3 linked regions of the Macaca fascicularis genome follow. The protein of the gene in region 1 interacts with the protein of each later gene in a pairwise test. Links are inferred from orthologs where the notes say so. Each region holds a gene or a part of one and is shown in the gene's direction. Other genes may lie near its edges.

What was found.
Region 2: the proteins of PRKACA (region 1) and PRKAR2B interact in binary tests that used the Homo sapiens proteins (3 or more experiments, as listed by UniProt). The link is inferred for Macaca fascicularis from reciprocal best matches to the Homo sapiens genes PRKACA and PRKAR2B.
Region 3: the proteins of PRKACA (region 1) and PRKAR2A interact in a protein complementation assay, tested with the Homo sapiens proteins (2 studies listed by BioGRID). The link is inferred for Macaca fascicularis from reciprocal best matches to the Homo sapiens genes PRKACA and PRKAR2A.

The regions. Positions count from the first base shown.
Region 1 is NC_088393.1:14,510,314-14,512,621, reverse strand, and holds the end of PRKACA (cAMP-dependent protein kinase catalytic subunit alpha), read left to right. Parts: intron 1-112; coding exon 113-238; 3' UTR 239-1,660; downstream 1,661-2,308.
Region 2 is NC_088377.1:148,581,853-148,585,532, forward strand, and holds the start of PRKAR2B (cAMP-dependent protein kinase type II-beta regulatory subunit), read left to right. Parts: upstream 1-799; 5' UTR 800-1,002; coding exon 1,003-1,318; intron 1,319-3,680. UniProt on the Homo sapiens protein: Regulatory subunit of the cAMP-dependent protein kinases involved in cAMP signaling in cells. Type II regulatory chains mediate membrane association by binding to anchoring proteins, including the MAP2 kinase.
Region 3 is NC_088376.1:111,815,300-111,819,051, reverse strand, and holds the start of PRKAR2A (cAMP-dependent protein kinase type II-alpha regulatory subunit), read left to right. Parts: upstream 1-1,300; 5' UTR 1,301-1,595; coding exon 1,596-1,857; intron 1,858-3,752. UniProt on the Homo sapiens protein: Regulatory subunit of the cAMP-dependent protein kinases involved in cAMP signaling in cells. Type II regulatory chains mediate membrane association by binding to anchoring proteins, including the MAP2 kinase.

The DNA.
Region 1 (2,308 bases):
ACAGGCCTGAGTCAGAGTAAATATCTCTTGAATGTTAGGCCATTCGCATTTATTGTTGTAATAATGATTATGTTGAATGCTGAGGTCTGGGTGATTCTTGATCCCTCTCCAGGTGGAAGCTCCCTTCATACCAAAGTTTAAAGGCCCTGGGGATACGAGTAACTTTGACGACTATGAGGAAGAAGAAATCCGGGTCTCCATCAATGAGAAGTGTGGCAAGGAGTTTTCTGAGTTTTAGGGGTGTGCCTGTGCCCCCATGGATTTTCTTTTCTTTTTTTTTTTTTTTTTTTTTGGTGGGGGGGTGGGAGGGTTGGATTGAACAGCCAGAGGGCCCCAGAGTTCCTTGCATCTAATTTCACCCCCACCCCACCCTCCAGGGTTAGGGGGAGCAGGAAGCCCAGATAATCAGAGGGACAGAAATATCAGCTGCTCCCCCTCATCCCCTTTGCCCTCCTGCCCCCTCCCCCACTTTTCCCTTCCTCCTTCCCCACAGCCCCCCAGCCCCTCAGCCCCACCCAGCCTACTTCTGCCTGTTTTAAACGAGTTTCTCAACTCCAGTCAGACCAGGTCTTGCTGGTGTATCCAGGGACAGGGTGTGGAAAGAGGGGCTCACACTTAACTCCATCCCCCACCCACACCCCCATCCCACCCAACCACAGGCCCCACTTGCTAAGGGCAAATGAACGAAGCGCCAACCTTCCTTTCGGAGTAATCCTGACTGGGAAGGAGAGATTTTTAGTGACATGTTCAGTGGGCTGCTTGCTAGAATTTTTTTTAAAAAACAACAATTTAAAATCTTATTTAAGTTCCACCAGTGCCTCCCTCCTTCCTGTACTCCCACCCCTCCCATGTCCCCCCATTCCCCAAATCCATTTTAAAGAGAAGCAGACTGACTTTGGAAAGGGAGGCGCTGGGGTTTGAACCTCCCCGCTGCTAATCTCCCCTGGGCCCCTCCCCGGGGAATCCTCTGCCAATCCTGCGAGGGTCTAGGCCCCTTTAGGAAGCCTCCGCTCTCTTCTTCCCCAATAGACCTGTCTTCACACTTGGGCTTTGAGAGCCAGACAAAGCAGCTGCCCCTCTCCCTGCCAAAGAGGAGTCATCCCCCAAAAAGACAGAGGGGGAGCCCCAAGCCCAAGTCTTTCCTCCCAACAGCGTTTCCCCCAACTCCTTAATTTTATTCTCCGCTAGATTTTAATGTCCAGTCTTCCCTCAGCTGAATGGGAAGGGCATCCCTGCAAAAGGGAACAGAAGAGGCCAAGTCCCCCAACGCCATGGCCCGGGGTTCAAGGCTAGAGCTGCTGGGGAGGGGCTGCCTGTTTTACTCACCCACCAGCTTCCGCCTCCCCCATCCTGGGCGCCCCTCCTCCAGCTTAGCTGTCAGCTGTCCATCACCTCTCCCCCACTGTCTCATTTGTGCTTTTTTCTCTCGTAATAGAAAAGTGGGGAGCCGCTGGGGAGCCACCCTATTCATCCCCGTATTTCCCCCTCTCATAACTTCTCTCCATCCCAGGAGGAGTTCTCAGGCCTGGGGTGGGGCCCCGGGTGGGTGCGGGGGCGATTCAACCTGTGTGCTGCGAAGGACGAGACTTCCTCTTGAACAGTGTGCTGTTGTAAACATATTTGAAAACTATTACCAATAAAGTTTTGTTTAAAAAAAAAAGTGTCGCTGGTGTTCTCGACTTCGATCACCCACCCACACACCCCCAGGGGGTTGGAAAGGGAATTTCGGACCCCAGAGTGCAAGCCGATCAGGTCCCGGCTTGAAGTCCTTGTAAACAGGGTTTAGCTGAAATTCCGGCACTCCTTCGGCCCCGCAGGAGAAACGAGCGTCAAACTGCCCTCTGACCCCAGATTCGGGGTCCCCAAATCTGCAGCGCGCCCCCTCGGCGTCCAGCCCGGGACCGAGAGGGCGCTCTAGGGAGGCGCTGGGGCCGGCGCGCCAGAAGGCCGAGCGGCGGCGGGGGCGGCCCTGGCAGGGGGAGTAGAAGGGGGAGAGGGTGCGCGCCCCCCTCCCCGCATCCTTAGCGCCGGGCCAGGCGCGCCTGAGGGACGCGGGGGCGGCGGCAGCAAGAGGGTCCCCGCAGCACCCTGCGAGCGCGGCAGCCCCGGCCCGCGGGCGGCGAGTTCCCGGTAAGTGCGGTCCGGAGAGCGGAGCGCGCCGGGGAGGCGTGGAGAGGGGGGCTGGGCGCCGGGGACGTCTGGGTCCCGCGCCCAATGGCTGGAGGGCGGCCGAGCGCCGCCCGCCCGCCCTGCCCGCCCCGCCCGCCCCCTCTCCCCTCCCCCCGGCACTCCCCTCCCCCTCCCCCGC
Region 2 (3,680 bases), on another chromosome or scaffold:
ATACTGAAGTATTTCCATTTTTGGAGATACAAGTCAAAATCACTCAAAGCATAAAGAAAAGTTTCAAAATAATAAGCGCCTCATCTTGCACTATCCTATTTGAAGGAGATCAACTAACTTTGATAGGTGCCTCACAATAAATGGCGCCTTTGTCTCAACAAATAGTAAATGCGTGGAGTGCACAACGGAATAGCATCAGTAAGATAAGACATAATAAACAGGATGGATGGGGAAAGGCTAGATAAAACGTGGTGGAAGAAAAAGAAAGACGTCACAAAGATGGGGTAGCATTTCTTTGTCCAAAAGAGAAACAGTACCACCATAAGACTTTAAACAAAGGACATTAACAACACTTATCATGCAAGTAGATTCCAGAAGGAAAATAAAATGCCACTACTAAGGTGGAGGCTGAAGTTTCAGGACAAATCGCTTGGCACCACCTCTGCGGGGGTTCACCATGGCGAATGACGCGTGGGAAGCTGGGCGAGTGGCCAGCCCGCTCCTGGACGCGCGGACAGGTGGACACCAAGACGGCCTCGCTGGGCCTCCCTCCGCCTCACCCAGCCCGGGCGCGCAGCCCGCCAACGAATTCCACCCTGCCGTGCTCTGAGCGGCTGGTGAGCGGCGCCAGCCGGCGGAGGTTGCCATGGTTTCCGAGGGTCACGTGGGCGCGCTCTCCTGCGCCCCCTCCCGCGCACCGCGGCGGGGCGGGGGCGGGGCGCCCGGGCGAGGGAGAGGCGCGGCCGCGGCGGGAGCGGGAGGAGCAGGAGATGCTGCCAGCCCTCCCGGGGCCGCGCTCGCTCAGCCGCCGCCGCCACACGGAGCAGACGCGCGCCAGGAGCCGCGGGCCGGGCCAGCCGGGCCGCCGGGGCCCAGTGCGCCGCGCTCGCAGCCGGTAGCGCCGCCAGCGCCGTCGGCGCTCGCTCGGCAGCCGCGGGGCCCTAGGCCGTGCCGGGGAGGGGGCGAGGGCGGCGCCCAGGCGCCTGCCGCCCCAGAGTCAGGATGAGCATCGAGATCCCGGCGGGACTGACGGAGCTGCTGCAGGGCTTCACCGTGGAGGTGCTGAGGCACCAGCCCGCGGACCTGCTGGAGTTCGCGCTGCAGCACTTCACGCGCCTACAGCAGGAGAACGAGCGCAAAGGCACCGCGCGCTTCGGCCATGAGGGCAGGACCTGGGGGGACGCGGGCGCCTCTGCCGCCGCTGTCGGGGGTGGCACCCCCAGCAAGGGGGTCAACTTCGCCGAGGAACCCATGCACTCCGACTCCGAGGACGGAGAGGAGGAGGAGGCGGCGCCCGCAGACGCAGGGGCGTTCAATGGTGAGGACCAGACCCCCCGCCCTCGCGCCCCGGGATCCCCTTGCTGCCACGGCTCTCGGATCTTGCCGCTTTGCGCGCCCACCTCTCCCCGCATTCTCCACCTTTCCCTACCTTCCCATCTCGCCCACCCCCTCAGCATCCATTTCTGTCTCTCCCACTCGCCCACCTTCCTACTCCGCTCTCTGTCATACCCTCTTCCCTTCCTCTGGAGGTGGGAGAGCTGGGAGGTTACGCTTCCCTCTGCCCGTCTGCCCCCTCTGCCTGGGCTGGTTGGGGTGGGCATCTGCTAGAAAGACAACTTTCGCTGTGATTGGAGGTATTTCGCTTGGAGGATACCATTGTGCATAAAGAAACTGGCCCACTTGGCGTCTTCTTTCAGCCTTTGTATTTATTAAACGAATGTCAAAAGAGAAAAGGCGAACGATGTTTAATATGATTGTCTTTACTGTTGTTAGGATGGTAGATTCACTAAAAGAAGCATGAAATTGGACTCACTGGGGCAGAACAAAATTTATGGCCAATAGCTCTGACATTCTTGGAAATAAGAGTTATCTGTTATTTTCCAATTTACCAATGCCGTGTTGTGTTATTTTTGGACACGTAACAAAGGATTCTATTTAGTCTGAAACCCACGGGGGTCTTTGGAATGAGGAAACGGGTTAATGGTTTGCTTTTTGTATAAAAGACATATTGAATGATTTGCTGTTTTATTTTTTTTAAGTGTATGAGAAAAACACTGTAGGAAGTTCTGAAAGCTTGTTGGTTGTCTTTAGAATGAAAAGCCAGTGAGTAATTGTAAGGACTGTGCCAGACTGAGCTAGAATAGACTGAGCTAGAAGAATGAATGGGAAAGAAAACGGAATTTTCTCAAATAGCTGCTCCTGGCAAGTCCCACCCCTTCTGCTTACAACCCTCTTTCCCTAACACACCCAGACACACACCCTCATTTACAGCCCCCTGTATTACACAACATACCCAAATCCCATTTTTATGGCAACCCAAGCTAAAATACCATGGAGTGCAATGTGCAAGTGTTTTCTCTTTGTGATATAAGGCAAACATGCATGCAGCATTGCACCAGCTTTTATTTATTTACACTGCTTGTGGTTTGTGTGTCCGCAGTGTATTTCATAAAATGAAAACATTTAGAAGTGTCATTTCATTTCCTTGTGTATGCTCCTAGGAAGATGTTTCTTTTCTTTGCACGATTACATGTTGAAATGGATTATAAAATTAATGTATTTTTAGTTTGTCCAAAACAATCCCAGAAAGCCTGGAAATTAGTGCTTTATGAAGATAAAAGTGAAGCTTGTTACTTACAATTTTAATTTTGGACTTTTAAATGTTTCCTCAAGAGGATAATCATAGTCTTAGTAGTTCTTTTTGCACAAGAATCAAATCAAACGCTTTTCCTTCTAGAAACAAGAGAAAGAGAGAAGAATGCATGTTTTAAATAGGTAAGAAGCAGCAGCCAGTAACGGATGATAGAAAGGGCAGAGATATCTAATACTTCTTTTATGCTCCTGACGCATGCACACATGTTCATGCACACACACAAAGGGGGAAAAAAGGACTCTTTTCCCAGGTTGGAGAAAACTAGGAACTCAGGGGCTTGGTAAAGACCTTATATGTATTCTGTATAATATGTTGTTAATATAATCAAAATCTTTTGTTTGTATAATGCATTTGTTGAAGTACTTTGCATTGATGATTCCATTTTCTCCTTATAACAATATATTGTGCACAGAAGAGATTCCATTTTCATTTTGTAGTGAAGAAACAAGCCGTTAACTTCAAAACAGCAGGGCTTTATATGACTTTATATTCTCCAAGGCACCTTTGCTGTAAAAATTGCTCAATGTGAGTTAAACAAGTTAAACTTGTAAACAATTGCACTATTTACTCCCCAGCCTCACCTTCAAGGCCTTTAAAACTTTTAGACTGCAACCAAATACAATTTGATCATTATCCAGGAGGCACATACATGTGTCTGATTGAAACTTTGGCAATAGTACAGGTACTACCTTCTGTCAGATGCAGTGCTTTTTGATATTTACTATTTGAATTGATTATTTCTCCCTATTTTAAATTGTGTTGAGACCTGCAGTTGAAAAACATTTAATTATAGGCTACAAAGTGGTTGGCAAGCTTTTCTTGTAAAGGGCCAGATAGTAAACGTTTTAGGCTTTGGGCAACATGTGGTCTTGATTACTTTTTTTTTTTTTTTTTAAACACATACGCGTTGTGAGGGTTGGGATTGTCGAAAATTAGCCGCATATCAAGGCCAAAGCTTGCTGACCCCTGATCAGAAGAAAAAAAAAAAGTCAAAATAGTACCACTGGGGAAAAAAACAGGAGTGAGC
Region 3 (3,752 bases), on another chromosome or scaffold:
GGGTGACAGAGCGAGACTCCGTCTCAAAAAAAAAAAAAAAAAAAAAAGAAACTTGTCCAGGGAGACACTGCTGTTTATAATCACAGGCCTGCTTAGCCTAGAGCCTGGGCTGGCCTCTTCATCAGCGGGGATGAGGTGCTCCTTGCTCCCAGCTGCTCAGCTCCCAGTAGCATTGAGCTCCTGGGTGTGTGCCAAGCCTGTATGGGAGGTGCTAGGGAGGATTTTAATTAATACGGGGTAATTACCATGTGGTGTTTAAGCATCCCAAATGCCCTTCAGGTTCCCAAACCTACAGCTACTCTCTTCCTGGCTGGGCCTGGAAAGGAGAGGGGGGACTCTGCCCTATGCCCAGTGGGCCTTTGGTTAGCATGTAGGCTGTGGCCTGGACATCCCAGGAAGGTCTCCACCTTTTTCAAAACCTTTCCAGTTTGGTAGGAGGAGGAGGGCAATTTAGGAAATAGTCTGGCTTCTACAGTTCACCTATACCATCTTCCTAGGGGCAAAGGATAACAATGCCTGTGGTCTGCTCAACTTCATCAAGCAGTGTTGGCCTAGGGCCCAGTGTAGAATGTGGGGAGAGGAGTGGGCAGACCTAGATCTGGGGACCCTGGTCAAAGTGCTCCAGGAAGAACAGGCACAGAGGTCTTTGCTGCTTTTGGCCTTATTTCCCTTTCTCACTGTACACATTTGGCAGACTGAACTCTTTCAAATTTATTTTTCTGCCTGTGGCTCTCAAATTATGATCTCTTTCAAACGCCTACTTCCTACAAGGCCTTCCCCGTGTGACATCTCAGAGACCTGCCAGACTCCTGAGTTATTCCACCATTCCACCTGGCAGCCAAGGTGGTCCTGACTCCACCAGGCCTTTGCTCTTGTTGTATGTTCAGATGGCTTTCCTCCAGATCTTCCCCTAGGCGGGTTCTGCTCAGACCTCGCGTCCAGCTTGAATGTCACTCCCGAAAGTGAGCCCTCTCTTGCCCTTCATCAGAGAAGAACCACACTGAGGTGCTCGTATGTTTCTGCTTCTCGCTGTGTCTCTGGTGCTAAGTGCCGGCCAAAAGGAGGCTCTTGGCATCAGCTGAAAGAATAATGTAAAGGTCTTCAGGACCAGGCGAGAGGCACTAATCGGTCCCCTTCATGGGTAGACCATTCATTACCTAATTCCCCGGATTCCCGCCATGAGCCGGCATTAGGAACCGTCCACTGTCTCGACCCCCCGACAGCCTGAGGGGCGTGTCACCTAGTGGCGCAAGCGCACTGAGGGCCGATGCTACGCGGGGACGCGCACGCCCGCGGTCGCGTGCGTCACAACCAGGACGCCTGCCCCGCCGGTCCAGCTCGCCTCCCCGTCGGTCCCCGCGGCGGCGGCGGCTGCCCAGTGACAGCGGCGGCGGTGCCAGGCCGGCCGTGGTAGCGTAGGGTTGCGCGGCCTGGAATCTCAGAGCCGGCCAAAGAGCGGCGCGACGTGAGGAAGGCCGAGCCGGGGCCGCGCGGGAAGAGACCTCGCGGGCGCGGAGCGAAAGGCCGGCGTGAGTGAGCGCGGAGACAGTGGCCGCCGGCGGCCCAACCCGTCTATCCCCTCGGCCGCCGCCGGCATGAGCCACATCCAGATCCCGCCGGGGCTCACGGAGCTGCTGCAGGGCTACACGGTGGAGGTGCTGCGACAGCAGCCGCCTGACCTCGTCGAATTCGCTGTGGACTACTTTACCCGCCTGCGCGAGGCCCGCGCCCCAGCTTCAGTCCTGCCCGCCGCCACCCCACGCCAGAGCCCGGGCCACCCCCCGCCAGAACCTGGCCCGGACCGTGTCGCCGACGCCAAAGGGGACAGCGAGTCGGAGGAGGACGAGGACTTGGAAGGTAGGCTGTGGGCGGGGCCCTGGGGAGTGGTGCAGGAGGTCTCGAGGGGTGGCAGGGAGCCGGGTGTCGCGCCGGGGCCAAGCCGACCGCAGGCTGGGATTGGGAGCTCTGTAGCCGCGTTTCTAGCGTTTTCCTGAGACACCGCCGTGAGCCCGCGTGCGCCACTTCCAAATTGAGCTCCGCGGTCCTGCGAGCCCTAGAGCGCACCCAGTGATTTGTCAGATTCAGCCTTGAAGGAAACTTGCGCGCTGTCGGCCCTGCCAGAGAGAGGATCCCTCACCTTTGCTTGAGATCCTTCACCAGGTTTGACTCCGAAGACAAGAGCGTTCACATCCAGTGACTCGTGTTTAATTGAAAGGACAGTAAGTTTGTTTGGAAATAATAATTTTTTTTGAAAAGTTACTGTGAAAACTTTTAAGCATAGACAGAAGAGGAAAGGTGAGATGAATCCCTATATGCCATCACCTACATTTAACAGTTGTATTTGTCACAAAGTTTCATCCATACCCTTTTTTCTTCGCCGAAGTGTATTAAAGCAAATCTCTCAGGTCATTTCACCTCTGCTTGCTTGAGTTTGTATTTCTTCAAACGTGGTCCCTCGGAATATTCCTATTTTTAAAAATTTGGCCAAAACGATTGAATCAAATTTGGTGAGAGTAAGTAATTATCTTGCCGGCTGTGGCAGTGGGTCCCTATAGTCCCAGCTACTCTGGAGGCTGAGGAGGAAATATCGCTTGAGTCCAAGAGTTCGAGACCAGCCTGGGCAAAATAGACACCCTATGTCATTTTTAAAAAGGAAAAACCTGGCCGGGCGTGGTGGGTCACGCCTGTAATCCCAGCACTTTGGGAGGCCGAAGCGGGTGGATCACCTGAGGTCAGGAGTTCGAGACCAGCCTGGCCAACATGGCGAAACCCCGTCTCTACTAAAAATACAAAAATTAGCCGGGCGTTGTCGTGGGCGCCTGTAGTCCCACCTACTTGGGAGGCTGAGGTGGGGAGAATCGCTTGCACCTGGGAGGCGGAGGTTGCAGTGAGCCAAGATCATGCCACTGTACTCCATCCTGGGCCGCAGAGCCAACTCCGTCTCAAAAAAAAAGAAAAAGGAAAAACCCAATAGTTATTTTCTTGTTTAGTGGGTGGGTTGTAGCTTTAAAGGAAAGGATCCCAGCAGAGACTGAGATCAGGAGAGCAGCTTCACTGGCTCTGCTTGCTGTATCGAGATTTATCATTTAGTAATAGTCAGTAAACCTTCTCCAAGAGTATGCAATAAGGACCGAGCAGAAAACAAGTTAGAGACTGTCCCTCCCTCACTGATTTGGTGATCCAAGATCATCACACCTTTTTTTTTTTTTTTTTTTTAAAGTCAGGATCTCGCTCTGTCACCCAGGCTGGGGTGTAGTGGCACAATCAGGGCTCACTGCAACCCCGACCTCCCAAGCTCAATGTATCCTCCCACCTGGGCCTCTCAAGTAGCTGGGATTACCTGGTGTGCCACCATGCCTGACTAATTTTGAGTTTTTATAGAGACGGGTCTCCCTGTGTTGCCCAGGCTGGTCTTGAACTCTTGCCCTCAAGTAATCCTCCTGCCTTGGCCTCCCAAAGTGCTGGGATTACAGGCATGAGCTACTGCTCCTGGCCAAAATAACACTTTCTACATCTGATCTAAGCAAGAGTGTTAAGAAGCAATTACAATTTCCTTGGTTGCTTCAACATATGCTTTGTCAATTTAACAGTAGAATTAGCCTACTTTTGAACAACTAAAATTGAACAAAACCATTTGAGAGGCCAAGTTAGGATCTTAGTGTTATTAGATCAGACACACACACAACTAGTCTGAGTTGTATCTGGTCTGGCCCAGTATTCAAGTCACGGCTGGCAAGGAGTTAATTAACAGT